Linked DNA regions of Elephas maximus indicus. The protein of the gene in region 4 purifies or fractionates together with the protein of the main gene of each other region. This does not show direct contact. Links are inferred from orthologs where the notes say so. Each region holds a gene or a part of one and is shown on either strand. Other genes may lie near its edges.

The links.
Region 1: the proteins of USP10 (region 4) and EIF4G1 purify together in Homo sapiens (affinity purification with mass spectrometry; 4 studies listed by BioGRID, with this or other methods). This does not show direct contact. The link is inferred for Elephas maximus indicus from reciprocal best matches to the Homo sapiens genes USP10 and EIF4G1.
Region 2: the proteins of USP10 (region 4) and SIRT6 purify together in Homo sapiens (affinity purification with western blotting; 4 studies listed by BioGRID, with this or other methods). This does not show direct contact. The link is inferred for Elephas maximus indicus from reciprocal best matches to the Homo sapiens genes USP10 and SIRT6.
Region 3: the proteins of USP10 (region 4) and PRKAA1 purify together in Homo sapiens (affinity purification with western blotting; 3 studies listed by BioGRID). This does not show direct contact. The link is inferred for Elephas maximus indicus from reciprocal best matches to the Homo sapiens genes USP10 and PRKAA1.

What each region holds. Positions count from the first base shown.
Region 1 is NC_064819.1:30,774,438-30,782,645, reverse strand, and holds the start of EIF4G1 (eukaryotic translation initiation factor 4 gamma 1), read left to right. Parts: upstream 1-5,016; 5' UTR 5,017-5,147; intron 5,148-5,433; exon of another isoform or gene 5,434-6,017; intron 6,018-6,241; 5' UTR 6,242-6,275; coding exon 6,276-6,335; intron 6,336-6,637; coding exon 6,638-6,724; intron 6,725-7,781; coding exon 7,782-7,958; intron 7,959-8,191; coding exon 8,192-8,208.
Region 2 is NC_064821.1:7,230,360-7,237,457, reverse strand, and holds the start of SIRT6 (NAD-dependent protein deacylase sirtuin-6), read left to right. Parts: upstream 1-4,010; 5' UTR 4,011-4,049; coding exon 4,050-4,115; intron 4,116-5,608; coding exon 5,609-5,736; intron 5,737-7,098. Other genes in the region: ANKRD24 (ankyrin repeat domain-containing protein 24), read right to left, coding at 500-535. UniProt on the Homo sapiens protein: NAD-dependent protein deacetylase, deacylase and mono-ADP-ribosyltransferase that plays an essential role in DNA damage repair, telomere maintenance, metabolic homeostasis, inflammation, tumorigenesis and aging.
Region 3 is NC_064820.1:46,893,616-46,901,051, reverse strand, and holds the start of PRKAA1 (5'-AMP-activated protein kinase catalytic subunit alpha-1), read left to right. Parts: upstream 1-4,241; 5' UTR 4,242-4,258; coding exon 4,259-4,385; intron 4,386-7,436. UniProt on the Homo sapiens protein: Catalytic subunit of AMP-activated protein kinase (AMPK), an energy sensor protein kinase that plays a key role in regulating cellular energy metabolism.
Region 4 is NC_064839.1:50,585,996-50,593,731, forward strand, and holds the start of USP10 (ubiquitin carboxyl-terminal hydrolase 10), read left to right. Parts: upstream 1-4,660; 5' UTR 4,661-4,727; coding exon of another isoform or gene 4,728-4,748; intron 4,749-7,736. UniProt on the Homo sapiens protein: Hydrolase that can remove conjugated ubiquitin from target proteins such as p53/TP53, RPS2/us5, RPS3/us3, RPS10/eS10, BECN1, SNX3 and CFTR.

The DNA.
Region 1 (8,208 bases), on a different chromosome or scaffold from region 4:
GAAACAGCAGCAGCAGAGGCAGCAGAACCAGGAGACCTACCAAGAGACAGCACAGTGGAATGAGAAAGCCAAACACCTTCCAGCAGGAGGTTTCTTGGTGGAGTTAAGAGTTTTATAACACTTGCCCAAGCAGAGCAGAAGCAGGGAGAGGCCTGCCTGTGGGCATGGCTGAGAAGAGGCTGTCTTGATTGAAGAACTGTATCCTGATCCTGAATTGTAACCTGTTACTTCCCTAATATACCTCATAACTGTAAGTATGGTCTGTGAGTTCTGTGTGGCCATTTCAATGAATTATTGAACCCAGCAGAGAAGTAGACTGTGCCATGGAAGGGACAGTTGGTGTCAGAACTGGTAAAAAGATTGAAGGGTGGAGGTGTGTTCGACCTCTGCCTCATAGGAATCAGCCTTGGGCTGTTGATCTTGAATCTCCTTCCTCTTTGTGAAGTTAGAGGAGGTCAGATGTCACCACCACACCATTTTTACTGTTGGTGTCAGAAATGGGATTTGTTGCAATGGCTCCAGACTCATGGAAGCGTGGAACTTTGTAAGAGAAAGAATGAAGGGGCATGGGAAGTGAAACTTGTGATTCTTAGGTGGTTACTTTGGTGGTTGTTACCTGTAATGACTGAAAGGAAAGAGATGTTATGCTGCAGCTGAGGGGAGAAAAGCTGCATCTGCAGTGGCCTGAGGCAAAAGCCAGTTTGATCAAATGAGATGAGGCCATATGTGTATGAATGGGAAGACAGTTAAGGTGTGAAGAAGAGAAGATGAAACTGGAATGTTTTAAAAAGTGTCACATGTTTATCTGCATGTACTCTGGATATTGAATGTTTCTCCTACTTGGTGTTGTAAAGCAGACCTAAATGTATGATGGAAGTGAACATTGGGAATTATACCTCCAGAGAGGCTCAGAGCAAGGGAATAATCTTCTGTTGATTAAATTTTTCCCATCGCCGTCAAGTCGATTCCAACTTGCATTTGAAGTATGGTGTTGGTGAAGAATATTGAATATACCATGGGCTGCCAAAAGAACAAATAAATTTGTCTTGGAAGAAATAACAGCCAAAATGCTCCTTAGAAGCAAGGATGGCAAGACTTAGTCTCACATACTTTGAATATGTTTTTAGGAAGGATCAGTCCCTGGAGAAGGACATCATGCTTGGATAAAGTAGAGAGTCAGAGAAAAAGAGGAAGACCCTCAATGAGATGGATTGACACAGTGGCTGCAAAAATGGGCTCAAGCATAGCAACAATTGTGAGGATGGCGCAGGACTGGGCAGTGTTTCCTTCTGTTGTACAGAACGGACTCGACGGCACCTAACAACAACATCAACAGTTAAATTTTATCAGAGGCTAGAAAAGATGAAGCCAAGATGGCTTTTGGAGACCTGACCAGATCAGATGGATACCTGCAGCAGACCTGAATGACTGGTACCTGAGTAACCTCACCCAGAGGCCTCTTTGCCCTACGGAAGTACTAATTGTTGATGACTGTTTTGGACTGACAAAATAATTGGAAGGGGGAGGTTACTCTCCAAGTATGAAAACTATGGCTAGAAAAGTCAGAAGGTGGCCTGCAGTGCAACTGATCACTTTTACACGGCCTTTCTCACCATAGAAACCCTGGTGGTGCAGTAGTTAAGAGCTACAGCTGGTAACCAAAATGTTGGCAGTTTGAATGCACCAGGCACTCCTTGGAAACCCTATGGGGCAGTTCTACTTTGTCCTCTAGGGTTGCTATGAGTCAGAATTGATTCTTCGGCAATGAGTTTGGTTTTGATTTCTCACCATGGTCTTGTAACTCCCACCAAATGACTGGGTGGGACTGTGCAAATAAGGTGCTTGTGGCCCACCAAGAGACCTGGACATCTTGCTAATAGTACAAATAAGTATATGGCACCCTTGTGGGGATGGGACCATGCAAATACAGTATATAGGAACCCAACAAGGGGATTGGTCAGTTTTGCCATCCTGCTAGCCTTAAAATGAGCAATCCCAGAGCACAGAGGGGGACCTGACTACCATCAAAAAGAAGAGAGGGGAGTGGAACACATCCTTTGGACCTGGGATCTCTGCGCTGAGACCCTCCTAGACCCAGAGACAGCGAAAGAGAACCGTAACACTGGAGATGGCAAGATGGTGAGAAGCAGTGGCAGAGAAATGGTGGCAGCAGAGGCAGCAGAACCAGGAAAGCTGACAGGGGACTACTTGGTGACCTACCTGGCCCATAGAGCAAGAAAGCTAAGTGCCTTCCAGCAAGAGGCTTGGTGGGGTGGGTTGCCTCTGGGCATTTATTGGTGGAGCTAAAGAGCTTTGTAACACTTGCTTGAGCGGGGCAGGGTCTAGGCTAAGGGGCCAAGGGCCAGAAAGAGGCCTGCCTGTGGGCATAGCTGAGAAGAGGTTGTCCTGATCCAAAGAAGTATATCCTGAATTACTGTTTCCTGAACTACCTGTTACTTCCCTAACAAACGCCATTACTTTGAGTATGGTCTGTGAGTTCTGTGTGGCCATTGCAATGAATTATCCAACCCAGCAGAGAAGTAGGGAGTGCTATGGGAGGGACGTTTGTCATCAGAATTGGTAAAAAGGTTGGACGGTGGAGGTGTGTTTGACCTCTGCCTCATAGGAATCAGCCTTGGGCTATTTTTGATTCTCCTTCCCCCTTGTGAAGTCAGACGCCTCTGCCATGCCATTTTTACAGATAATTTTCTTCCAAATTGGTTACTGTGTTTTAGAGTAAGAAATTTTCATAGTGGTTCTTAACCTTTCATATTCAACTGTTTGTTCAGCAACAAATATCAACAGAACCTTATTCTGCATTGAACCTTATTCTAGTTTGGAGAATGCAAAGATAGAAAAAAAGATCCAATCTTTAAAAAGCTTACACAATGGAAAAGAAGACGGATAATTACATGAAAACAATTGTGATATATTGTGATCAATACCGTACTGGGGGCGAACAAGATACCCTGGGATCATTGGGATAGGGCCTAAGTGCTTGGATGAGTGTGGTGAAATTTCTTGGAGGAAGCTGAGACTTGAAAAAAGAAGAGTCTGTCCAAGGGGAAAGAGGGTAGGAAAATATAGGTAAGCAATTAGCAAAAGCAGGAAGGAGGAAAAGCTGTATGTGTTCAGAAACCATGGATAGCTTGGTTTGGCTAAGTCTACAGGGACCAGGGAAGAGTATGGTAGCAGATACAGCTGGAGACACAGGTGTAGACCAGGTTTAGAAGAGCTTTGTCATGCCAAGAAATTGACAGTATCTCAACAGGGACCATTGTATGTCAGCAGGAAAGTGACATGATCAGCTATGTGGGTAAGAAAGCTCACCCTGGAAGCCCAGAGACTAGACAAGGGAAATGGACACCTGAATTAGGACAGTAGAAGTGGGGAGGTGGGTAGGGGTAAAAGGAAGTTTTGTTCAAAAAAGATAAAATCAATAAGACTTAGTGTTTGATTAAACGTAGTGTGTCGATGGGAAGGAGTGTAGGATGAAGCCCAGATTTTCAGGTTGGGCATTAAATTATGGCACTATTCATTGGAAAGCCGTATATGAGCATATTTGTTTGGGGTTGAGATGGGGGAGTCTGTTCACGAATTCAGGGAGAAGTGACAAATTCCTATCTGAACACACGCAATTTGAGATGCCAGTGGGACAATTAGGCAAGGACATCTTTTAGGTAGTACCTCGTTGTCACTGGAGTTTGAGCGTGGTTTCTGAGTTAGGAAGTCACTCTCATGAAGGCAGTAATTATTTGTCAGTGCATGGATGAGTCTCCTTAGGGACAAAGTAGAGAAATGAGAGAGCAGAGTCCTACATGACAACAATCACAGAGCGCAAATGAGCGTCGCGGAGAACACCAGATCCGTGTGTTTATTCTCCTCCAGGTGTCTCTTTTGGTCTTCGGAGCTGCTGCCCTACTTCTCTTAAAAGCAATGACTATTGGGTATCTTTGTGCCTAAGTATGCCCACCCTACAGCTGTACTTTCTTGATGGGGGTGATAATGGGGGCTGTTTTATGACACCCTCACCTAGCTACATCAAGTCCTGCAATATATATCAGGCTCTGCTTCCGAAAGGTCACAGTCTTGAAAACCCCGTGGAGTACAGTTCTACTCTGCACACATGAGGTTGCCATGAGTTGGTATTGATTCGATGGCAACTTTTGTTTTTATTTTGAGGTAACATATGTGCCGTGTAGATAGACCCTTTGCTAAATGTCTAGGCATTGTTTCAAACACTTTCACATGTACTAACTAATCCTCAAAATCCAATAGTGTAGATGTCATCATTGAGAGAAAGCATGGTGGTTAAAAGCTCAGACTTGATCCACACCACCTGGTTTCAAACCTCCCCATTTTACATCTTGCCCAGAGTCCTCAGGTAGTAAGCAGGTAGGTAGGTGACAGCCACGTGGTAAGTAGTGAAATCAGGATTAAAAACCAGTAAGTGAGTTGCACTCTAGGGCACTCCCGTCTGGCTTCCAAGATCTTTCTGGTGCCAGGCAGGGGTTTTGGGATTGACTCTCTGGTCATTATTCTCAGCAGTGGGTTTTTTTTGGGTTCCTTGATTAACTTTTGCCCCTCCCAGGAAGGGGTTGATCTTTGTATAAAACAAATCTACTCTTGCTAGTCTCCTAGTTAGAATGTTTCAGTCCTTTCAGGGTAACATTCAATCTCCTTTGTTAACGAGCCTTTCAAGCATCTAATCTACATTACCTCCAAAGACTGTATAATTCGCATTTCTTTGCATATTGCACCATGATTTACTTAGCTAGGACTCCTTAATTTCCATATTCTCCGCACTTCGCCTTGCAGTTAGTAGGCACCCAGTAAAGTCTCAATGGAGTAAAGGACCACCAAACAGAGACGCACAAGGCAGCTCGTCTGGAGTTCCACAGTCCGGGAGGGGACATGGGGGCGGGCTGTGGCTGTCACGTGACGGGGCGGGACAGAGCCATGTGCTCCGCGGCGCCCTGCGGCCGGGGCGAGGCTCCTCCCCCTGCGCCGGTCACGTGGGGCGCCGGCTGCGCCTGCGGAGAAGCGGTGGCCACCGAGCGGGATCTGTGCGGGGAGCCGGAAATGGTTGTGGACTACGTCTGTGCGGCTGCGTGGGGCTCGGCCGCGCGGACTGAAGGAGACTGAAGGTAAAGCCGCCATGTCCGGGCCCGACCCGGCCCCCCCACCCCCTCCCCCCGCATCCGCCGCCATCCGGGCCGGGACCGGCCGCCCTGCGCCGCCGCCCCGCCGCCCCGGCCCCGCGGCCCCAGCCCGGGCCCCGGCCCTCCAAGGCGCGATCCCCGGCCCACGTGTGCCCGGCGCGGCCCGGCCTGGCTGCTGGGCGGGGGCGAGGGGGCGCGGGGCCGGAATGTGCGCCCCCGCGGGCTGGGAGGGCGCCGGGCTCGCTGGCCGGGACGTGCCACCGCGGCCGGCCCGGGGAGGCCCCTCGGCCCGCCGGCACCGCGGCTTCTCGGCCCGGCGCCCCCTCCCCCTTCGCCGCCGGGCCGCCGGGAAGTGACACGTTGTTCTTTGGCACTGGCCGGCGCTGCGCAGGGAGGGCGCAGGCAGGGCGGCGGCGGCGGGCAGGGAGGAGCCCCCGGCCGCGCCCGCCCTCCGGGCCGACCCTCGCTTGCCTGAAACCGGCTCTTCCTCGGCCGCCGCTCGCCAGGCCTTTTAGGGCCCGGCGCCCGCCCTTCCTGGCCTCGGCTCCTGGGCGGCGGCGGGCGTCGCCTCCGGCCTGCGCGGTGCCCCCGCGGCCGCTCGCGGCAGGCGTGCCTTGTGTGTCCCCGGGCCGGGCCCCGAACCCGGTGTCCCCGGGTGGGGGGTGGGGACGCCACGGCCGAAGCGGCTAGCTCCGTTTGTGAGCCGGGAGCCTGGTGCCAGCGAGACCTGGAATTTCCGGTCTGGTTGGTCTGGGGCCCCGCGGAGCCGGGTTGATACCCCTCACCTCCCAACCCCAGGCCCTCGGATGCCCAGAACCTGTAGGCCGCACCGTGGACTTATTCTTAACCGAGGGGGTGAGTGAGAGCGCCGTTTCTGCAGGTCAGGGGGGTGGATGGCGGTGATGCGGGCTTGACAGCATGTTAGTGGGTACACACAGCCTGGGTCGTTAATGCTTCTTCACTCCCTTGGTGCCTCTGCGGCTCCGATTTGGACCCATCCCTTGCTTAACCCTTCCCCCACTCCACTTGCCTTAAACTTGGGTCTCTTCCTCTTTCCAAGCTCCACTCTTTCCCAACAGGTGTTGGGGGGACCCTGATGTGGCACCAAATGAAATGAACAAAGCGCCACAGCCCACAGGCCCCCCGCCCGCCCCATCCCCTGGACTCCCACAGGTAATTAGGGAGGGAGGCTGAGGAATTAGCAAGGACCAGAAGGGTGTAGGGAAGGCCAGGCAGCCGGTCAGGAACAGGTTCCAACCTCTGGATTTTCCCACCCCCATCTGCGTCAGGGCAAAGTGCAACGGCCTGTTGCCAAATTGAGACAGGGCCCCTGGGCTGTTCCCAGGGGCTGTCCTGGGGAGGGGGATGTGGACTGCTGAGGCCTTGCCACAGACTTACCCCTCTTACTTCACCAGCTTGGGTTTCTGCCCCACCCGGGTTTCCCCACTTGCTGAACTCTGGTCTCCCCCCTTCAGCCAGCGTTTCCCCCGGGGCAGACAGCGCCGGTGGTGTTCAGTACGCCACAAGTGACACAAATGAACACGCCTTCTCAGCCCCGCCAGGTGAGGGGCCGTGGGGAGGGGAGCAGGGGGCCTGGGTGGGGAGCTGTGGCAGTCTCGGGCCAGTTCGGGTCTCAGATGGAGACTACGGAGGCCATGTACCTGGTTCTCAGCTCCTGACACTTGCTCTGTGTTCTTCCGTGCAGCCCTGCACTTTGCGCTGTTGATTCCTTAGGTGGCTGGCCCCTTGGGGAGCGTGCAGCCGGTGGGGGTGGCGTTCCCGGGGACCTGGTGCTGCTGAGGACTGGAGGCAGTGCTTTGGGCCCTGGTGCCAACTCCTGTTTTCCTGTTTCTTTACCGGGAGGTGGACATTCCTCTTCCCTGCTTTCTCCTTGGAGCGGCCAGAGAATCACTCCAGGTGGTTCTTGCCCTCCTCTGTTCCCCAAGTTCTTCTTCGCTAAGTGGGAAGATTTTTGCTTTACTTCTTCCACATTTTCTGTTCTCATCACCTTGGGGATAATTCTCTTCTTTCCTGTCCCCATGTGCTCTCAGGGAGGATTCAGGTCTCTGCAGGTAATTCTTCTTTCCTAATCCTGGACCTCCTCCTGGCCTCACCCCACCGTACACCCAGTTAGGGGTTAGATCCAGGGACTGGGGCTCTTCATGGTGGGGACTTGGTTGTCGTCCAGGCTGTCACTGTAAGGCTGACCCATAATGCATGTCAGTGGCTAAGTTTTGCAGCGTGCGTGCATATCTGTCTGGTGATTGGGAGACTTGCATGTTAGGGGTTACCTCCTCAAGCACCTTAGGGTGGAGCGGTGCATGCTGGGGAGTGTTTGCCTGAAAGGGCCTTCCTTCAGCGTGTGGCATCTGGGTGTTAGGAAGCTTCTGCAGAGCACTAGTCTGGTGGAGGTTACGTGAGTGTGCATGGCAGTGAGAGGGTAAACACGTACAGAGTGCAAAGCCTGTATCTGAACACAGAGGACATGTGTGAGTACAGGGGGCCAAGTGGGTCTTGGAGAGTTGGATCGCTGTACTCTGGCGCCCCCAGGGCTCCTCTCCAGCCTGCAGTCCACTTCCTCCCCTTCCCTATGCCAACGGCCTTCCTCCCTCCTGACAGCACTTCTACACTAGCCGGGCCCAGCCCCCGAGCAGTGCCGCCTCCCGAGTGCCCAGCGCAGCCCCTGCCCGCCCTGGCCCAGCTGCCCATGTCTACCCTGCTGGATCCCAAGTCATGATGATCCCCTCCCAGATCTCCTACCCAGCTTCCCAGGGGGCCTACTACATCCCTGGACAGGTGAGGCTGGAGGCTTGGGAGCTGGAAGCCATAGGGCCTTGTCCTCCCAGTCCTCGCCCCCGCCCCTACCCTGACTCTCCTGTCCCATCTCTTCTCTAGAGGTGGGGCTTCCTTTGGTCATTGACCAGAGTCAGCTTGTCCTGTCCTGCCCTACGTTCTCTTTGTAGGCTCATGGGGTGCCTATAGCTCCCTAAACTCGTGTTCTCCCTGCCCCTTCCCCTTCTCCCCACCAGGGACGTTCCACATATGT
Region 2 (7,098 bases), on a different chromosome or scaffold from region 4:
CCACATTCACACTGTTCCCCCAGTGCCTAAAACAGTGCCTGATACAAATATTTACTGAAGAAACACACAAACACAGAAGACTGGAGTTGCTGAGAAAGTAGGTGCCCAGAAAAGCCAGCGGCCACTGTAGCTGGGGAGGGTAGAGATTTCCTGGAGGAAGTGGCAATGGAGACAGATTGGGAGAGGTGTGGAGGATTTCATAAGTAGCAATGCAGGGAGTGTTCCAGGCAGAGGGCACCGCCTGGGCAAAGGAATCGTGGGTGGAAAGCTTATAGAGGCAGCAGTGGGGGAGATACGGGCAGCAGGGGGCAGCAGAGAGCAAAAGGAGGCAAGGTGGGCGGAGGCTGAATGGCTTGGCCTTGAACCTGTGTGTGGGGAGGGACCATTGTAGGGTTTTGAGCAGGGAATTCTGAGCAGTTTTCTGATGAGGGGTGGATCCCAGCAGATCTTTGGCCAGGCCCTGGGGTTGCATTAGGCATTTCAGTAGCATGAGACTAACCTCTGTCTTCTTAAACCGTGCCCGGAGAGTCTTCATGGCCAGCGTCCGGCGTTTCTCCTCGCCCCAGGCCACCTGGGAAAGGCCAGAGAGATTGGGGAGTGAGGGACCCAGTCCTGGAGGACGGGAGGGTCTGGCTGCCTCCCTCTGCTCCAAAGGACCACTTCCTCCTTCATGGGCAGCCGCAGCCCCTAGAACAGGACCAGTGATCCACCTCCTATTTACTGTGTGTCCTTGGGTAGACCGCTCGCCTTCTCTGTTTCACGTTCCTCATCTATAAACTGGGGTAGATAGCCCCCTCTTGATGGAGCCCTTGTGGCATAAATAGCTAAGTGTTTGGCCGCTAACAGAAAGGGTGGTGGTGCGAACCCAGTGACTCCACGGGAGATCTGCTCCTGCAAAGATTACAGCCAAGGAAACCCTATGAGGCAGGTCTACTCTGTCACGTGGAGTCACTATGGAATTGACTCAATGGCAGCCAGCAACAGCAATCCCCTCTCAACTGACTCACGGTCAATTGTCATTTAGGTTTCTAGCACAGAGCCTGGTATACTGTAGGAGCTCAATAAATGCACCTCACCTGGTCCCTACGATTTAGCCTTAGCAGGTGGTCCCTTCCTCTCCCACAGCCACTCCTGGAGACACTCTTCCCCAACTCCAGCTGCTGGTATTTCCTATTATCCAAGCCGATCAAGCTTTTCCCAGTCTCCAAGCTTTTCTCTTTGCTGTTACCTCGGCCTAGAATGCCTTTTTGTTGTCTTTCCCTGGTGAACTCCTACTCAGTCCCAAAATAACATATTCTGATCAGCCTTGCCTCTTGCCTGAAGGTTGAGTCCTAACTCCTCAGATTGGACTACCCCAGCCCTGGCTCCACAGGCTGGGAGTATCTGGACCAGTTCTGTCTTCCTCAACAGTTAGGGGTTCCTTGGGGGCCAGGCCCAGTCTGAGGTTTGTCTGCATAGAGGCACATTTCTTGGATAGTCAGAGAGAGCAACCTTGCAGCTAAGTCCCCATACACAAGCCTGGCCTCTGCATGGTGAGGGCGTGGAGACAGGTCACCCAGGGTGGTGGAGGTCTGGGGTGATGGCTGCACGTGTGTGGATGCACACGGGAGTATGACGTGTGTACATACAGGCACGTCTGTCCACCTTGCCTGTTACATGCATGTGTGTGCATGCAGGTCAGGATGTTTTGAGGGGCTGTTTTGCAAGGTGTGTGACTGGGGTCTCTATGTGTGAGCAGGATCTCGGTGAAAGTGTAGCTTTATTTGTCTGCCTTTGGCGGTGGGGGGGTGGGATGGCCTGTCCCCCTGCCTGTGAATTCTGAAAGCCATCGTCCACCCATCCACTCACCTGTGCACACATCCTCCTACTCGAGCACGGTACATCCACCCAGTAGCCACCATCCACCAACTAATCCACCCATTCACCCATCCATCTACCCAGTCACTCATCCATCAACCCACCCATCCATCTGCCCACCCACCCAACTTACTACAGCCATGGACCTTACTACATCTGCCCACCCATCCAGTCACCCACCCATCTGTCCACCCCACCCATCCATCCACCACTCTTCAACTCAACCACTCATTGACCTTCCCATCCACCCTCCCACCTACCCACTCACCCATCCACCCACCCACTCATCCATCCGCCCATCCTTCTTCTACCATCTACCCATCCATCCTTCTACCCACCCCCTAAACCCAACCATCCATCTACCCTCCCACTCATTCATCTATGGCCCATCCATTCATTCCCCATCCACCAATTAATGTACCTCCGCCCCCACCCTTTTTTTTACTCCCTAATAAAAGGCAATGGTTTTTTTTTGCTTTTGTTTTAAATAAAGGTCTCAATCACACTCAACCAACCAAATCAAACTCATGGCCGTAGAGTTGACTCTGACTCATGGCGACCCTATAGGACAGAGAACTGCCCCATAGGGTTTCCAAGGAATGGCTGGTGGATTCGAACTGCCAACCGTTTGGATAGCAGCCGAGCTCTTAATCACTGTGTCAAGTCACACTCAAAGCAGAGTGTAATAAGACACCCAGGAGAGGACTCCACAGGTTGCCCGGAGCTGGAGGGAAGCAGTGGGCTCAGTGGGAGGAATCCCCTCACCTAAGGATTTGCTTCCTGAAAGAGGTGATAAAGTATAAGCTGGGCCTGATGGCCCGGCCAGATATTAGACAGCAGCAGCAGCAGGAAAGGAGGATGTCCCCGGCAGGGCACAGGCTGGAGGGGACAGTGTATGCATGAAGGAGCGTATCCGTGTGCCTGGAGCCTGGGTAGCTCCTGACCCTGGCTGGGACACACCACCAGCCTATCCTCTCTCTTACAGAGGGCAAGGAGCCCTGAGCCCTGAGGGGAGCCTCCATCCCAGGCCTCTCTCACCCCTTTCCTCTCCTACCTCCTGCAGCTCCAGTGCCCCAGCACCAGGCCACCGTGCAGGCTGCCGGCTCCAGTTGCCCACTCCCAGCCGGGCTGTGAGCTCACACCAGCCGCTCTGGGCACTAAGCTCTGACACTTGATCAGCTCTGAGCAGGCAGCTGCCCCAGGGGGCCGGGGATGAGCTGAGGGAGGAGACAGGCTGGCAGCGGGGCTGCCCGTTGATCGACGGGCTCTGGCGGGAAGATGCTCTCCTCCCATCATCACTGGACTGATTTCAGTTTCTGGAACCAGCCATGATCTTGCTGTCTTCCCAGCCTTTGCACTTGTCAGGAGTCCTCTGCCAGGAGTCCACTTTCTGAACCCCACGTCACCCCGAACTGGCTCACTCACTCCACCTCACGCTACTCACTCTTGAGGTCTTTGCTGCAACGTCATTCCCCTTCCAGGAAGCCCTCCCGGGACGCCCCCAGGCTGGGTGAAGTGCCACCTCCGAGCTCCTTCATTGCTCTGTGCCCTCGTCGTTCCCCGTAGCACCTCAACCACACTGTGACACCTTTGACTGGCCAGATGCTTGCGTCCATCACTAACAACGAGTAGGGAATCGTGTCTTCTTTGTTCTCCAGGGTCTGCCCAGAACACAGTAGGTGCTCAACATGGTACTCAAGGCCACCAGCCTCAACAACCTTGTGCAGTTTCACTCTCCTACCCTGCGTTTTGTAACTTTATAAACTTCTGAAATGTGCAGAAGAAAGATCCTTGGTGTAGAGAAGCAGGAGTCCTGGGTCCCTGCCCTCCTGGCTATGTCCTTACTGGGGGTGACAGGGACATCAGTTTACTCATTTATAAAACAAGGGAATGGGGTACTGATCGCTTATGCACTTCATTCTAGAAGAAACTGCAGAACTCTCACGTGAGCTGCCGCCCCAATCTTCGCAGCCCCTTAACCACCCCTGCGAGTTTGGACAGGGAACCGGGAATTCCTTCTGCCAGCAGTTAAGATGGCGCCTGCAGCCTCACGAACACGCGCATGCGCCTTGGAGGAAGACGCCGGGCCCGTAGAAAAAGAGCGCTGCCCCTCCTTCCGCCCCGCCCGCCCCATTTCCGGCGGAAGCGGCCTCAACAAGGGAAACTTTATTGTTCCCGTTGGATGAGCGAGGATGTCGGTGAATTACGCGGCGGGGCTGTCGCCGTATGCTGACAAGGGCAAATGCGGCCTCCCCGAGGTGAGCGCGGCCTGGGGCCCCGAAGTGCGCCCCCAGGGTCGCGGGCTGGGAGGGGCTGGCCAGCAGCGGGGCATTGTGGGAGTATCAGGAGGCACTGAGGTTAGACAATGGGAGGGACTTCCCAGTGAGGAGGGGGCGGGAAGTGACGACCCCTGCGCGCCCGGGGACACGAACACGCCCAGCTCTGGGTGGGCCAGGCTGGGACTGAGGTCGGGGAAGGCCTGAAGGCTGGTGGTGGAGGAGGGCACGCAGTTCTAGGCGGAGGGCACGTAGTTCCAGGGGGAGGGAATAGCCAGGGCGAAGGCAGGAATGTGGGATAAACACACTTGGAGAACAGAGTAGGGCAAAGAGATCTTCAGAGGCCGGCCAGGACGGGCCTCAAATGGCAGGCTGGGAAGTGTGATGGGGAAGGGTTTTGAGCTGGGGAGGTACCGACCGGGACAGATTGAGGAGGGTCCGAAAGATCCCTCCAGCCACTCTGGGAGGAAATGGAGTAACAGTCTGTGCCCACCACCTACTGAGGGACCTTAGGCGGGTCTCTTCCCTTATGGGCTTCCATCTCCCCTTCTGTAAGCTGAAGGACAACATGGTTCCCATCTCATAAAGGCTGGCCCATTCTTTTCTAATCATACGTTTAATAAACTCTCAGATGGTGTGAATCCCTTCCATTATTCATCTTATTCCACAAACATTTATTGTGCACCTACTGTGTACCAGAAGTCCCTGGGTGGTGCAAACTGTGAACATGCTCAGCTGCTCCCAAAAGATTAAAGGTTCGAGTCCACCCAGAGGCACCTCGGAAGAAAGGTCTGGTGACCTACTTCCAAAAAATAAGCCATCGAAAACCCTGTGGGGGCACAGTTTTACACTGATACACATGGGTCACCCTAAGTTGGAGTCGACTTGATGGCAACTGTGTACTAAGCACTTTGTAGGACACAGGACAGACAAAACCCTCTCATTCTACTGGGGGACACCGACAAGAAACAAATGAACGTAATAAGTCAGGTGGTGCTAAGAGCTATGGAGAAAAATTAATCTGGGAGAGCTGGGGGTGGAGGGAAAGGCGGCATTGAAACTGGGTAACCAGGGAGGCCTCATTGAGATGACATTTGAGCCAACACCTCAAGGAGGTGAGGGAGTGGTTGGCGTGATGATCTGAGGGAAGAGCACTCCAGGCAGAGGGAACAGCCTGGGCAAAGACCCTGAGGCAGGACCGTGCCTGGTGAGTTGGCCCTTGTGGCTGGAGCGGGATGAGTGAAGGGGAGAGCCGAGGAGGAGGGGAGGGCAGGGCGGGGACAGGGCAGGGAGGACTTTTACGGAATAAGGTGGGAGCCATGGTGGGCTACAGGCAGAGGAGGGACGCCAAGACAAGCTGTGCTTTCCAACCCTGTCTCCTCCCCCTGAGCATAGCACGTCAGTCCATCTGTGGCTCTTGGTCTCCATGCTTGTAGGGCGCGTTCCGACCCCACCCTCCCATTCTCTCCCAACAGATCTTCGACCCCCCAGAGGAGCTGGAGCGGAAGGTGTGGGCGCTGGCCCAGCTGCTCTGGGAGGCCTCCAATGTGGTCTTCCACACAGGCGCCGGCATCAGCACCTCCTCCGGTATCCCCGACTTCAGGTCTGTGTTCGGAGAGGGGAGGTTGAGGCAGGGCCCGCCACGGGCTTCCCTGTCAGCTCATAGATGCCTGGGCACCTGGACCCATCCCACTGATTGTCCCCTTCCTGGGTCCTGGGCCATCTGTCCCTGGGATGTTGGCAGGGTGTTGAGAGGTTGCCCTCTCCCTTTCGGACTTACCCTTTAAGTCAGGCCCAACATTCCACTTATACTTCATTGGCCGGATCTTGGCCACCTAACATTAGCCGCAAGGAATGCTGGGAAATGTAGTCTTTAGCCACCCATGTGGGGGCCAGCACTCGGCTGCTAACCAGAGGAAAGGTCCTGATTTGAACCCACCAGAGGCTCTGGGGGAGAAAAGACTTGGTGACCTGCTCCTCTAAAGATTACAGCCAAGAAAACCCTATGGGGAAGTCCTGTTGTCATCTAGGGTCACTATGAGTTGGAATCAACTTGATGGCACCCAACAATGTTACCATAGAGGAATCTTTGGGTGGCGCCTACAGTTACTGTGCTCAGCTGCTAACTGAAAGGTTTGCAGTTCAACTCCACCCAGAGGTGCCTTGGAAGAAAGGCCTGGCAATCTACTGAAAAATCAGCCACTGAAAACCCTATGGACAACTCGTACAGAAACTTAAATGGGAGCCTAAACTGCTGTGAAAACACAATAAAATATTATTTTTAAAAAAGCCCTATGGAACACAGTTCTCCTCTGACACACATGGGGTCACCATGGGTTACAGTCAACTCAAAGGCAACTGGTTTTATTGTCATAGAAGATGGGGGAGAATTGACATCAGGGAACAATTATCTACACACGCTTGCAGGTATTTTCTCATAGCACCTGGTGTTACTGGGTAACCTCGGACAAGTGGCCTAACCCTTCTGGGCTGCGGTTTCCTCATCCATAAGTGAGGGTGTGAGACCAGATGATGTCTCAACTCCCCTCTGCTTCAGGCAGCCTGTGTTAGACAAGAATCTTGCTGCTGAAAAGCGGGGATCTCCAACTGGCGGCCCCTGTAGATGCTGAGTTTGCAACCCCTCTCCAAACAAACAAACAAAAAAAACAGAACCAAATTCATTGTCGATTTCGACTCAGTGACCCTACAGGACAAAGTAGAACTGCCTTGCAGGGTTTCCATGACTAACCTTTATGGAAGCAGGCCACCACATCTTTCTCCCACAGAGCAGCTGGTGAGTTTGAACCACTGACCTTTTGGTTAGCAGCTGAGCACTTTAACCACTATGCCAGTGGGCCTGTTGCATTATTCCAAAGAGTGAATCTGCTTGTGCCCTTCCCTTGCTCCAAAACCTACCATGGCTCCCCCCTGCTGCCCAGTAGTGTCCCCAACTCCTCCAGCTGGG
Region 3 (7,436 bases), on a different chromosome or scaffold from region 4:
ATTATTTGCTCAGCGTAAAGATTGAATAAGCATTGTGAAAGGATACAACCCTGGGGGTAGTATACCCAGTTAGCACCCTGGTATTTGTTTCCAATATGATTTTCCAATAAAAAGAACCAAAGCTTCTTGGAGAAATGACTGATTGTAGGATTGAATCATGAAATCTGCAAAATGAATCTCAAACATTTTGCAATGCTAGAAAGTAAGAAAGTGCTTTTTCTCTCTGCATCTGGATCCCACATCCATTTCTTGATCATCTGGCCTCTGGTTTTAGGGACTTGAGCCAGAGGGCTGCCATCTGACCTGCCAATTCTGAGATTTGCAGGCCTCCACAGGCCCATGAACTGGTTTGCCTACTGTCTGATCTGATTTGCCAGCTTCTGCAGCCTTGTGAGCCAGCAGCCTGTGGTCTAACCTGCCAGTTTGGGTTTGTCAGCCCCTGCAGCCACGTGCAGCCATGTGGGTCAGCAGAAGCCTAAGCCTGACCCCCGGATTTGGGACTTGCCAGCCTTCACAACTGCGTGAGCCATTTACTTGGTACAGTTCCAGAGTTCTGTGAGACCTTGCAGTTAATTACGGAACCCAAAGATGGGAGGGAGAATACTGAGTGGAGAGGGAGTAGTTGATGTTTGAGATGATGGAGTGGTACAGCAGTTTGGAAAAGCTGGACATTTGGGACATCTTCAACCTTCACCTCATAGGAACCAGCTTTGTGCTGATCCTTATAAAAGACATTACTCATTTAATATCTCTAGCTGGCCTTTCTTTGGAGCTACAGACCTGTATTATCAGCATTACCATGAATATCTTTATCTGAGTGTCTGTTAGATGTTTCAATGTTACAAGTAGAACTCATTATTTCTGTTGAACCCCCGTTCACCATCCTCCAAAAAGTCCTGTCTGCTTCTGAGCAGTTCCTTGTGTAGATCAATGGCACCATCATTTATTCAGGTTCCCAAACCAGAAACCTGGAAGGTAATTAAGATTCCTTCCCAACCCCCTCTCTCCAGATCAATCTGTGTGTCTTGGTAATTCTACCTTTTTTAATAGGTCTTCCGTTTACTTCTCCTCTTCATACATGATGCCTCCCTCATCATTTCTTAATGAGATGATTGCCAGTCTCTTGTTTTAGCCCACTTTGGTCTTGCCTTTCTCCAAGCATCTTCCATACTAATGTTGGAGTCTTTGTTATTTTTTCTAATAGTTACTTTTTTTGACTGTAATACAGGCATAACCAGTCAGTGTATAGGAGAAAGATGTGGCAGTCTGCTTTTGTAAAGATTACAGCTTTAGATACCCTTATGGAGCAGTTCTACTCTGTCCTGTAGGGTTGCTATGAGTTGGAATCAACTTCATGGCAATGGGTTTGGTTTTTGGCTTGAAAACAATGTCATTCAAAAAATATTGAGTATTAATTACAACATAACTATGACAAAGCTAAAGAAATATTTGTGTGTTAATATTAATAGTGTAGTACTCAGAAATTTTCAGTCCTGGCTGCCATATTTGGAGATAGTCATTGAGGAAGTGGAATGTCCACTTGGATAGTGTAGGGTCCAGTAATGCGGTGATAGCCTTAAGAAAAGACTTAAGAGGAGACACAGCTACCTTAGAATCTCTAACGGGCTAGAGCAGAAGGAGCATGAAAACTAAATACCCAGCTTCTCCACGAGACCCATGGTGCTGGGCCATCCCGGTATGTCTTCATCAACACTGGGATGTACTGTAACTTACTTCTACCAATAAAAGCTGAAGTACTGAAGCTTGAAAACAATTTACTTTCCACTCCCTTCTCCCCTTTAAAGTGAAGTGATTTCAAGGCTACTTCTATAATATCACTTCTGTTCACTTATATTCCAGTAATATATAATCCAGGAAACTGGGTATAAACCACAGTCTACCTTATCTACGCTTCCACTTTAGAAGAATGTTGAGCCTGTGGACATTATCTATCCTGGGTGTTGGGGGCAAATAAGAAGAACTGCCATCGCAGGGACCATAACTTTTCATTTTGTATCTCTCCCCAGGGTCTAGAAGTTAACAAATGCTTGAAGAAAAAAAGGAAGTGAAGGTTTGAAGGCAGATCAATGGGGGTATGAAAGGAAGAGAGGATGGAAGGAAGTGTGACAGAAATTTAAATAAAGAGGAATGAAGAGAAAAAGAAAAGAATGAAGTAAAGAGGCTTGTTATTTACTTTCTCAGAAACTGGCAGGTGTTAACTGGAATCAGGTTTTAACTCAACACACACAAACAACAACAAAAACAAACCCCCAGCAATTAAAGCTGCTTAAACAGAGACTATGGGAGACAGGACAAGATGACTTCTAAGTTCCTATGCAATTCTTTGTTCCAAGATTCTAGGTTTTGTTTCCCTAACAAAGCTTTTGAGTGAAAGGGACATTTATGGAATATTTATTAAATAGAATTATAATAAAAATAATATCAGAGCAGAAAACAACTGATATTTCTGCTAAAAATGTTTATATTTCTTTCTTAAGTGAGTCTTCCTAGCTTCATGAAGAGACTGGCAAATGGATTTGCAAAATTCTGTGATCAGTGGCTTAATTGGCACTGGACAGATGGAGGCATCTTGCAATTTTTTTTTCTTTTATGTTAAAAGAAATAATAGAACATTCCTGGGCAGAATTCTAGACTTGATGCAAATTTAAAGCAATTTAAGAAGTTATTTCTGGGGGGAAAAGTTAAAAAATATATATATTTTTTCTAAGAGAATCCAGAGAGCTGTGTATACTTGTAGAGGTCCGAAAAATCTGAACTGCAGAAACTCACAAGGCAAAGAGCTGAAGCCAGAGAGCAAAAGTTACCACAGTAACCCCTGCCCTGCCCCCCAAGTATCTCAGATTTCTTAATTAACTTTCTGGCCCTTCAAAATATACACAGTCCATACTACAGTAGGAACTTGATAATCCGGACAAGTCTAGTTAGAATTGCTCTCTTCTTATTTGGTGTATGTCTATAGGGTCGCTATGAGTCGGAATCGACTCGACCGCACTGGGTTTGGTTTGGTTTTTTTTGGTCTAAGCTCAAAGGCAGGGACTTTTTCTTTCTCTGCAGTACCCTGCTTAGTACAAAGCAGTGCTTAATGTAAGTTACTTTGATTTCATAAACGGAAAGTATATGACAATCAGGAGGGTTAGGCAACTGACTTTCACTGGGAAAAACATGGCATCATTTTAGTCTTATTTTCAGTGCCCATTGACACTAGTCCAAATGCTATGACACTGCCAAACTGAGAGCATTTCCACTGCTTTCTGGATGAGACGCTGGGTTTTTTCCACTGTTAGAGGACAACCACTTAAATTTCTATTACAAATAGGCACACTTTCCTTCCTTCCCTCTGTGATATAGCATAATCCCATTTGTATCGATAATAGACTAAGTCTTACTCATTCCAAGTACACTAAATAAATGTCTGGTTGATGTAAGCCTTGTTTTCGATCCGGTGAAATTCTACATTTTACTAATAATCTAACAATATAAGTTCCTATACATCGAAGGGTCTGAGCAATCTCCCACTCCCCCCTCAAACACACACACATTCCCAGCCTGCATCCTGCAACGGGGAAGGAAATTTCAGACCGACAATTATAGTTTTCGAGATACTCAAAGAGTAACTTAAGGCTCAAAGTGAAAAAAGAGCAGCGAGAAAGAAACTCCATCAAAGGTGCAAGAGTAAACTCCCTGTGGCTTCTAGATTGCACCCAAGAGGGAAAAACGAGAACCAAGGTTAGAAATACAGCGTCAGCGCGGCGACTCAGTCCTGTTTCAATTCTCGGTGCACTAGTAACAGACCACACATCTGTATTATCCGAGCAGGATTCCCCAGCGCCCGCCTACCCCCTTGGAATCAGATTCCCCGGGTGGAATTATATCGGGACCCAGGAGTGGGAATCGGGAGCGTCCACTGAGAACAGAGACTTCCGCAGAGGGGAAAGGAGCCTGGGGGCTGTCGCTCTTCTCAGCGCCCCAGGAAGCCTCTCCTACAGGCAGGCAGGCGGGCGCCCGGAGCCGGAGAGGTGCGGGCGAGGAAAGGGGCTCCCGGCTCCCTCCCAGCGACCCCCGTCCGCCCGCCAGGGGGAGCGTCTGCGCCCGCCGGCTGGCTGCGGAGAAGGGGCGGCGGTGCAGGGCGGCGGTGCAGGGCGGCGATCGGCTCCGGGCGGCCCGCCCGCGTCCCCACCCTCCCGCCGCCCGCCCCCGGCGCGGCCCTGCCCGCCCCCTCCGCCCCCTCCCGGGCGCCATGCGCAGACTCAGTTCCTGGAGAAAGATGGCGACAGCCGAGAAGCAGAAACACGACGGGCGGGTGAAGATCGGCCACTACATCCTGGGGGATACGCTGGGGGTCGGCACCTTCGGCAAAGTGAAGGGTGAGGACCCCGGGGCAAGGCCGCGTCCTGGCCCGGGACCCAGGCGATTTCCGCTTTCCGCACCTCTTCATCCTCCGCCCTGCGCTCCTCGTCTCCCGGCTGGGCAGCCTCTGCCCACGCTTCGGCCATGCGGGGCCCGAGCCCGCCGCGGGACTGCAGCACGGCAACCCCCGGCGCCTGGGGATGGGGCGGGGACCGGTCGCCATGGCGACGGCGCTGCGGCCCGAGGGGCTCGTCCGGGCGAGGGGCGGAGATGCCGAGGGGCGAACTTTTCCCGGCGGTGGAGTCTGGTTGCTGCGCGGCTTCTGGGAGGGGGCCCCGGGGGTCCCTCGGCGGGGAGCCCTGAGAGGTGGCCTCCTGTGCGGCCCAAGTTGAGCTTCCCTGGCGCAGGGTCAGTCCATCGCTCCTCTGGCGGTCTTCGGCATTGTCGGCTTTGGTTAAGAGGCTCTGCTGATTCCCGAGTGTGAAATGTGTGTCCCGAAAAGTAAGGTTGCTTTGGGGTAACCTACAGAATTAAAAAAAAAAAAATCTATATCATCTCGTCGGAAAGGATAACAGATTTCCTTTGGAGCAGTTAGTGAATATAAACTGGTCCTATATTTGCGATGTATGATTTACTTCCAGACGGCCGACTCTGTTGTGCCTTCAGTGTTTGGGTTATCGGGAGTTTTGCATCCCGTGTGCCGAATCAGGTAGCTGGTGCAGATGTTGCCTCCGGGTAGTATTTATTAGTTCATTTATACAGTTGGTTTCCATTTATTTTTAAAGGATGATATTTATATTTTAAAAAGTCTTAATGCATGTCATTTGGCCTTTTTTTTTTTTTAAAGCGTGGACTCGCTTAGCACTTGTGTTTCAACAGTATTTTGAAATAACGAACTTGCTCTCTACTAATTCTGACAAAAAAAGTGTAATTGCAAAATTTAGGAGGCATAAATGTTTTTTTACTTAAAATACTTGTATTAGTGATACAGATGAAAGAAGTGTGGAACTAATAAAAATAATATCCATTAGTTTGGATGAATAATAGACTACTACTTGCATATACAAGCAAATACTTGAAAGAAAAAAAGTTTGTGGAAGTCTGCCCAGTGAATTAACTGAGCCTTGCTCTCCCACAGCTAAATAGACATTTTCTGATTTTACCTAGGGATGGCAGAGGAGAACCCTTCTTTCTTTTCCCCTTTCTGAGTCACACCAAAAAACCAAACCGGTCGAGTCAGTTCCAACTCAGAGTGACCCTATAAAGGACAGAGTAAAACTGCCCCATAGAGTTTCCAGTGAGCGCCTCGCAGATTTGAACTGCCGACCTTTTGATTAGCAGCAGTAGCACTTAACCGCTATGCCACCAGGGTTCTGAGTCATAGAACTGGAAAATTGCTGTGTAGCCCAGAGGGAAGCAACTGCCTAAAACTTCTTATGAAAATCAGCAAGGCCAACAATGTAAGGAAGTAAGCAAATGCCAGAATAGGGTAATAACAGCCATCAGAGGGTGTGTGTGTTGGTCCAGTAATATGTTTCTGTGCCCTCAAAGTCATTTTTGGCTCTGCTATCTCTTGTTAGGAATTACAACCTGCTTTTTAGTTTACTAGTGTTTATGAGAAATGTCCATTAATGCCCCGCAAAGAATGACAAGCCAATCTTGGATTAGGGTGCTCATTATTCTTCTAATACAGGCCTAGCAGAGGCAGGTTTCATCTTCCTACTTGCTAAGTCATTTTTGGCATGGCAGATAGGAAGTCAAGAAGAGATTTTTCATTTTCTGAATTTGACCTGTGTGGCTGGGACATGAATCTCTTGTGACTCTGGTGTCCCCTAGTCTTTACTTCTCCACCTGTGTCCCTCTTGAAGTACCATTTTTTTTGCCAAAATCAACAACGTCCTCAAATACAGAAAGGCCAGTATTGGTCATAGGACAGGTTTTGTGGATATGGTTAGATTTGTTTAAAAATACATTAGATAACGTTGATCAGAATTCTCAGTATGTTTTAAAGTTGCCAAACAAGATGCTTTTGGCCACAATAGAAAATCCATCTCAACCTGGTGAAAAACATCTCTTTGAGTAGTGGTTCTCTCTCCAGAGCAAGAAAGCCCAAGATACCTCTCGTGAGTCTCATTGGCAAAGGATGCCATATGCCAGTTGGTTTAGGCTTGTCTTCTTAAGTAGACATTGGCAAGAGGAGCAGCGTTACCTTTGGAGTAATATGGCCCACCCTTGGATGTACATTTGGGGAGCATCTCATGAGAACATGGGGAAGGTATCTGTACAGAAATGGGGTATTTGCTAGAAGGAAAGAGGGACATGGATGCATGAGAGCAGGAAGAAAAATAACTATTATAGTTGTAACATTGGTAATTTAAACCAACCTTAATTTGACAGGAATTCTTATAATAGGTTTAGCCATTTGTGTCAGTGGAGACAAATTGGAGTAGAGCTTTTAAAATTAGATATAAACATTGGCAAATTTACCATAGAGAAGGAATCTAGTAGGAGATGTGATATTGAAAGGTGGAAAAACTCCTAATATGATATTCCATGCTTAAATTTAATTTTTTGAGGGAGGGAGGCATTGTAAATTCATAGTGATTTTTTTTTTTTTTCGAGGAGCCCTGGTGGCTCAATGGTTAAAACGTTTGGCTGCTAACCAAAAGGTTGGAGGTTGGAACCCGCCAGCCGCTCAGTGGGAGAAAGATGTGGCAATCAGCTTCCAAAAAGATTTTCAGCCTTGGAAACCCTGTGGGACAGTTCTTCTCTGTCCCATAGAGTTGCTGTGAGTCGGGGTTGACTCCGTGGCAATGGGTTTAGTTTTGTTTTTTTAATTTCGTTTTCTATTATAGGCTAAAAAAATCTTTGGTAATTTAATGGCAGCATTTTGAAGGGAAAGTTTAAACAGAAAACTAGGGTTAGTTTGGGATTATGCTTGAAATATCTTTATTATTTCCAAGGTACTTTTTTTCCTTCTGGTTGTCAACATGTTAGTCTCCACTCCGTTTCCCCCAGAACAAGTAAAAAAACACGGATGAACAGAGTCATGTTACTATTGTGGTAAA
Region 4 (7,736 bases):
TGAATGATCTTCAGCAAAATTTTGCTTTCATGTGATACTAATGGTATTGTACGATAATTTCTGCTTTTGGTTGGATCACCTTTCTTAGGAATAGGCATAAATATAGTTCTCTTCCAGTCAGTCAGCCAGGCAGCTGTCTTCCAAATTTCTTGGCATAGTCGATCGAGCACTCCCAGCACTGCATCCGTTTGCTGAAGCATCTCAATTGGTATTCCGTCAATTCCCGGAACCTTGTTTTTCGCCAGTGCCTTCAGAGCAGCTTGGACTTCTTCTTTCAGTACCGTTGGTTCCTGATCAAATGGTTGAACGTTGACCAGTTCTTTTTGGTATAGTGACCCTGTGTATTTCTTCCATCTTCTTTTGATGCTTCCTGTGTCATTTAATACTTCTCCCATTACAGATGAGGAGATTGAGGTCCAAGTTCACACAGCTAGTGGCACTCCTCTATCCTATCAGAGTTCTAGAGAAGGATTTTCCAGGACAGGCCTAATTGAAATACTCTGCCCTTTGGGCCTATGAATTAATTCCTGTTTGTCAGTAAGACCGTGTATCAATTAGGTTAGGTGGGGGATATGGACCCCCCTCCCTCCCCAGCTAGTTCAAATGCTCCTTTCTTGGGAAACTTACAGCCTCCCTGGGTAATAATAGAAATTCCTTTATTATTTGTTGAATGATAGTTAAAAAGCACCAGGCACTGTACAGCATGTGCTAGAACCATTACTTCATTTTTTCCTGGCAACATGCTTGCAACATAGGTGCTACTACTCTGTGTGCTAGTCTCCAAAAATGTACTGCCTTGTACCAACAACAATGTATTATCTTAAAGTTCTGTAGGTCAGAAGTTTTACCAAGCTAACATCAGGGTGTTGGCAGGGCTGGTTCCTTCTGGGGACTCCAGAGTAGAATCCATTTCCTTGCCTTTTCCAGCTTCTAGAGGCCACCTGCATTCCTTGGCTCCATGTCCCCTACCTTCATCTTTAAAGACAGCAGTTGCGTCTTCAAATCTCTCTCTCTGGTCTCTGCTTCAGTCCTCACATCTCCTTGTCTGACTCTCCTGCTGCCCTCTTTCCCTTATAAAGACCTTGTGATCACTTCAGACCCACCTGGATAATCCAGGACAATCTCCCATCTCAAGATCCTTAATTTAATTACATCTGCAAAGTCTCTTTTGCCATGTAAGGTAACGTATTCATAAATTCTGGGGATTAGGACAAAGACACCTTTGGGGAGGGGGCATTATTCTGCCTACCACGTCTTCCTAATGCAAAAGATTTACAGGAAGATAAAGTAACTTGCTGAAGTTCACAGGGCCAGTGAGTGGGGGAGCCAGGTTTTGAATTCAGGCCTGTCTTTTAAAAAAATTTTATTGTGGCTTTAGATGGAAGTTTACAGCAAAGATTAGTTTCTCATTTAAAAATGTATACACAGTTTGTTTTGTTACATTGGTTGCAATCCTTACAATGTGTCAGCGCTCTCCCCCTTTCTCTTTACACCCAGGGTTCCCCATGTCCATTTGTCCAGTTTTCCTGTCCCTTGCTGCCTTCTCATGTTAACATTTTTCCATATTTGCTTTCTCTCTCTCAATGTGTATTTATGTGTGTACATACAATTTTATTTTTTACTGAACCATTAAAAAATAATCTGCAGGCAAATTATGACACATTCACCCCTAAATCCTCCGCATGCATCTCCTAACAGTAAGGATATTCTCTTACATAAAAACAGTATCATTATTACTCTATGAAAATGACTAATAATTCCCTAAAATCACATATATTCAATACGTATTCAGATTCTTCAAGTGTCACTGCTCTGACAGGGATCACAATAGAGGGTCCCTGACAGAGCTGGACAAAAATGTGAAACAAAATTCTAACTCACAAAAAAAGACCAGACTTACTGGTATGACAGAGACTGCAGATACCCCAAGAGTACGGCCCCCGGATGCCCTTTTAAACCACTACTAAAGTCACTCCTTAGGCAGGTCCATAAAGCCAAATGAGAGGAAATGGGCATACCAGCCCAGGGGCAAGGACGAGAAGGCAGGAGGGGACAGCAAAACTAGTAATGGGGAACCCAAGGTCAACAAGCTGAGAGTATTGACACATCGTAGTGTTGGCAACCAATGTCACAAAACAGTGTGTATATTAACTGCTTAACGAGAAAATATTTTGCTCTGTAAACCTTCATCTAAAGCACAATGAAAAAATTTTTTTCAAGTGTCAAAAAATATTTACTAAGCTAAAAAAAAAAGCAACAACAGCAAAAAACAATGCAGTTGAAGTTCACACATTGTATTTGGTTATGTCTTTTTAGCTTTTCTAGTCTAGAACTGGAAACCCTGGTGGTGTAGTGGTTAAGTGCTATGGCTGCTAACCAAAATGTCGGCAGTTCAAATCTACCAGGTGCTCCTTGGAAACTCTATGGGGCAGTTCTACTCTGCCCTATAGGGTCACTATGAGTCGAAATTGACTCGATGGCAGTGGGTTTGGCTTTTTGGTATTCTAAAACTATCTCCTTCTCCCACACAGTTTTTTTTTTTTTCACTACACCCCATTTTCGAAGAGACCAGGCCTGCTGTCTTATGGAACATGGGAATGGATCCCATTGTTGACCTCTGCTTCTTTGCACAGGGTCTAGCAAAGTAATAGGCTCTCTGTCCATGTTTGCTAAGCAAGTGAAACCTATAATGGTTATGAATAATAATCACAGTAGCTGCTTTTTCTTGCAGGCTCACTTGGCCATTGGGCTTGTTGTTGTTAGGTGCCGTGGATTTAATTTTGATTCACAGCAACCTAGTAGGACTGCCCCATAGAGTTTTTTTTTTTTTTTTTTTTAACATTTTATTGTAGTTTGGGTGAATGTTTACCAAGCAAATTAGTTTTCCATTTAACAGTTTATACACATTTTGTTTTGTGAAATTAGTTGCAATCCCCTCAATGTGACAGCACTTCCTTCCTGGGTTCTGCGTTTCCATTTGCCTATCTTTTCTGCCCCTTTCTGCCATCTGAACTTTGTTTTTGCCAAATGCTGCCCTTTCAGTCTCCTATGGTTGACTGTCCTGAGCAGCGCGTTCCTCAAAGTTGTTACTGTTCACTTTGTAGGCCTGTCTATTGTTTGGCTGAAAGGTGGTCTCCAGGAGTGGGTTCAGTTCCAGTTTGGAAGGATGTCTAAGGGCTATAGTCTCAGGGGTTCCACCAATCTCTATGAGACCAGTAAGTTTGGTCTTTTTTATGAATTTGAATTTTGTTTTACATTTTTCTCCCGCTGTGTCCAGGACCTTTTGTTGTGATCCTGATCAGAGCGATTGGTAGTGGTAGTCAGGTACTACCTAGTTCTTCGGATCTCAGGCTAGTGGAGCCAACAGTTTGTGTGGTCCATTATTCCTTTGGGTTAATTGTTTCTTTGAGTCTTGGATTTTCTTGACTCTTCTTTCCTCCGGATGGGAAGAGACCAATAGTTGTATCTTAGGTGGCTGCTGGAAAGCTCTTAAGACCCCAGTTGCTTGCTACTCACCAAAGCAGTATGTAGAATATTGTCTTTATGGGCTGTGTTATGCTGATTGACCTAGATGTCCCCCAGACCCAGAGTTTTCTAGGCTGTAATCTTTAGGGGAGTATATCACCAGGTCTTTTTCCCACAGGGCAGTTCTAACTGCCAACTTTCAATTAGCTGCCGAATGCTTAACCATTGGGCCACCAGGGCTCCTTGGCCTTTGGGTTTATGTACACTCATTAAGTTGATCCTTACAGAAATCTTAGGAGTTAAGAAGACTTAGTTTCATTCACAGGTGAGGAAGCCAAGGCTTAGGAGAGTGAAGAAAATTGCCTGAATTCAGACAGCTAGTCAGGGGACTAACCACATCACAGCTGCACTGGCTGGTAAACTGTGGGTTCAGGTAGGGGAGCTTACAAACTGTTTCTTAAATAAATGAGTGAACAAAACAACCCCAAAGCCAGTCAGTCTGTATATATGTAATGTACATAAATGTATGCAATAAAAGAAAAAACAGGGAACATTTATTGAGTGGTTTCTATTTGGCACGCCCCATGCTAAGCGCTTTTTGGTGTATGACATTCTTTATTCTCCAATGCCTAGCAAAAGATGTGGCGCTGAGTAGGCGCACAAGCAATATTAGTGCAACGTATGGATGAACGAATAAATGAATGGATGGACTGGAATGTGATCTCCATAAATCAGGTTGTTCCTCGAGGAATTTCAGCGATCACTTCGGAGAGCCCGGCCTAGGAAAAGAGACGCTGGGGGCTCACGGGGTCAGACCGGGGTTCTGGGCCACGATGTCCCGAGTCCCGCAGGTCGGCCTCCCAGCCTGGCGGCCTCCCAGCAGGTGAGCAGCGTGGGGCCTGCCTGTCGCTTCGGCGTTGTCACCCTCATCTGCCTCCCTTTTCCCGTTTCCGCACGCAACAAAGCCCTAGCTGCCTCCTCCCGTCCGCGGCCGATCCAGCCTCCGCCGAAGGACGCCGGCTCAGAGTCCAATTCCCTGGCCTCACCGCGGCCAGAAGGTGGGCCCGGTTGGCGCACGCCCACCTGTCGGCCGCGCAGGCGCACTGCGCGCCCGCGCCGGGCCTCCCTGCCCGCGGCGCGGCGGCCAGTGCGCAGGCGCGGCGACCGATGTGAGTGTGTATGTGCGGGCGACAAGATGGCGGCGGCGGGGGAAGCAGCGTGAGAAGTCCGGAGGCGCGCCGAGTCCATTGAAACGGGCCGCCATGGCCCTCCACAGCCCGCAGGTACCCACCGGCCTGCGCGTCGGCGGGAAGGGACCTGGGTGCTCGGCGGAGAGGGCGCCGCGCGGGTGGGCGGGCGGGCAAGCGGGCGCACCCTGCCCCGGGAGCGAGCGTGTGGAGTGGGGGAGGGCGCCGGGACATGCTGCCCGGGACTAGGCCCCGAGCCTTCGCGCTCCCGCCGCCGCGCCCGCGGCCTCCCCCCGCAGCCCGCCCGCGCCCCCAGGCTCCGGGCCGGGAGAGGGGCGCAGGGGCCCGGCCGCTCCTCGGAGGGCGTAGGGCGCCGAAGGGGTTAATCTCTGGGCCCGGGCCACGGCGGGAACTGGGGTGTGGAAGGGGCCCCTCTTCGCCGAGTCAGCACGGCCTCCGGGGGAGGGGCAGCCAGAGGGCCTCCAGGGCCCCCTGGAACGACTGAGCCGTCAAGACAGCTCCATGTTGCTCCCTTTGCCCGAAACGAGCTATGAGGATTTGGGGGTAACTCTTTTCCCCCCATTCCCCAAAAGGTGGCTTTCCTCAGCTCTTTTGACGACGGGAGGTTGCAGGTTTTCGGGTTGTAAGATCCAGACACTGGGGAGCAGCCTTAGGTTACTGTTCCAAAGAAAACTCGAAATAAGTCGCAAGGACCATAGTTTAACTTGGATTTGAGTGACATCTTTGCACGAATCCATTTCAGCCAAGCTGACACTAACGTCTAAAACAACCTGGCAGAAAAGTATCCAAAGTTGAGGAGCCGTTTAAAATAATACCATAGTGGAAAGAAAGAGTAAAAAGAACCTTTCGCTTTTGGCGAGGGTGTAGAGTTGAGCTCTTATTTCCCTCCCTACCCCACCCCACCCCGAAATTATAATTACTCTGGATAAAAATCGACGTGTGGCGTTATTTTCCAAGCATGTTTTAGACCGCTGATTTGTTGCGATCAAACCTCTAGAAATTATGGGACACTTTTATACAGTCTCAATATGCTTTTGTATTAAACATGGAAAAATGAAACAAAGTAGCTGTTGGCTTTTGTTGCCGTTTTGGAAATGAAGTCGATCTGGAATAGACATCTTTTAAGATTTTAATAACTATTGCAATTACTAAGGAGCCCTGGTGGCGCAGTGGTTAAGAGCGCGGCTGCTAACCAAAAGGTGGGCGGTTTGAACCCACCAGCCAGCCCGCGGGAGAAAGATGTGGCAGTCTGCTTCTGTAAAGATACATCCTTGGGAACCCTATGGGGCAGTCCTACTCTGTCCTGTAGGGTTGCTATGAGTCGGAACCCACTCGACTGCAACGGGTTTTTTTTTTTTTTTGGTATTGAGAATTAGTGTATGTTGTGGAATTAAAAACAGGGCAACCTTATTTTTAAAAAATTTAGATCTTATAGAAAGCTGCAGTTTTGTTAAATTTTTGGTACTTTGGTCTGTGCAGTTTTCCCCTGTTAACTTTGTGTTCACTTATACATTTACTTTTATAAGTAGTACAGTTCTTTGCACATAAAAGGGGCATCACAGTTAAGTAATTTTTATGAAGGTGTAATGCAATTTTTTTCATAAGAGATTTGCATATCACATTTTTCTCAATTTAAATGTTAATATTTCTCAAACCAAATAAGAATTTCTCAGTGTAAAAGTTTACATTAAATATTACTGTAATATTATTGAATGCATACTTAATTATATTGTTATATATTAGGAAACCCTGGTGGCGTGGTGGTTAAGTGCTGTGGCTGCTAACCAAGAGGTCTGCAGTTCGAATCCGCTAGGTTCTTCTTGGAAACTATGGGGCAATTCTACTCTGTCCTGTAGGGTCACTATGAGTCGGAGTAGACTGGATGGCAGTGGTTTTTTGCTGTTGTTGTTTATATTGTACTAAATATGCATATTTTTATATTAAGTAATATTTGCGTTAAATATTAATGTAAATAGCTTATTTTTATTGTTAAGATTAGCATGAATGGGTACAAGGTTCATTGTGAACTTATGTGTAACTTGATATTCATAATGATTTTGAAATGAAGAAGGCATGTTTAGGAATACTTTACTTCCATTATTTAATAAGTACCTATCACAGTGCAGCAGAATTGATTGAAATGCTAATTAGTGCTGATAATATGTAAACTTAATTGTAATTTCACTTGCATTTACTGTCTCACAGCGGTATTTGTTTTATACCCTGATATTGCCTATACTCATCTTTAGTACGTTGGACTGGCAAAAGTTAGTTGAACATAAATGTTAGCATCACTTTGGGTTTATTCTTTTAAAGTATGATTTAAGTGCTTTTAAGTCTAGCATGAAGAACGTGGGAAGGAAATAGTTTGATTTTTCATGATACAGTGGAATCGTATGTGCCAGGATTTAATTATTGGATCTTGCTTGAGTTGGTCTGAGCATTTTAGGAAATTTGTTTTGTTCAGTTGCCTGCTGTCCTAAAGGTTCCACAGCTTTAACGGACATTCATTCATTAATTAACAAATATTGACTGAGCACTTACCATGTGCTAAGCACCATGATATGCATTTTGCTTGTTTGCTGTTGGGAATAACAACAACAAATAAATGGTACCTGTTGTCCTTGAGGCGATTGTAACTTCTAGCAACTCTATAAGACAAGTAGAACTGTCCCCTAGGGTTTCCAAGGAGCGGGTGGTGGATTTGAACTGCTGACCTTTTGGTTAGCAGATGAGCTTTAAACCACTACGCCACCAGGGCTCTAAATGAATGGTAAAGGTCCTTTTTTAAAACTGGCTTGTTAAGATTATAACTTGAATTTTTTTTTACATAGATTAGAGCTTATGTCTATATGATTAGAAAGTATTGACTGAACCCTGCTCCCTGGGTTGAAGTGCAAAACTTGGAACATTCCTAAAGCCAATAACTTTCAACATTTTCACAAGTTCTAAATGATGAACTTTGACAATTGGAGTTTAGGGAGAGCTCTAATTTATGAATATTTGTTGTCATGAGTGAACTGATTGAATGATTTGGGATCATTAATTTGAACCGACTAGCTC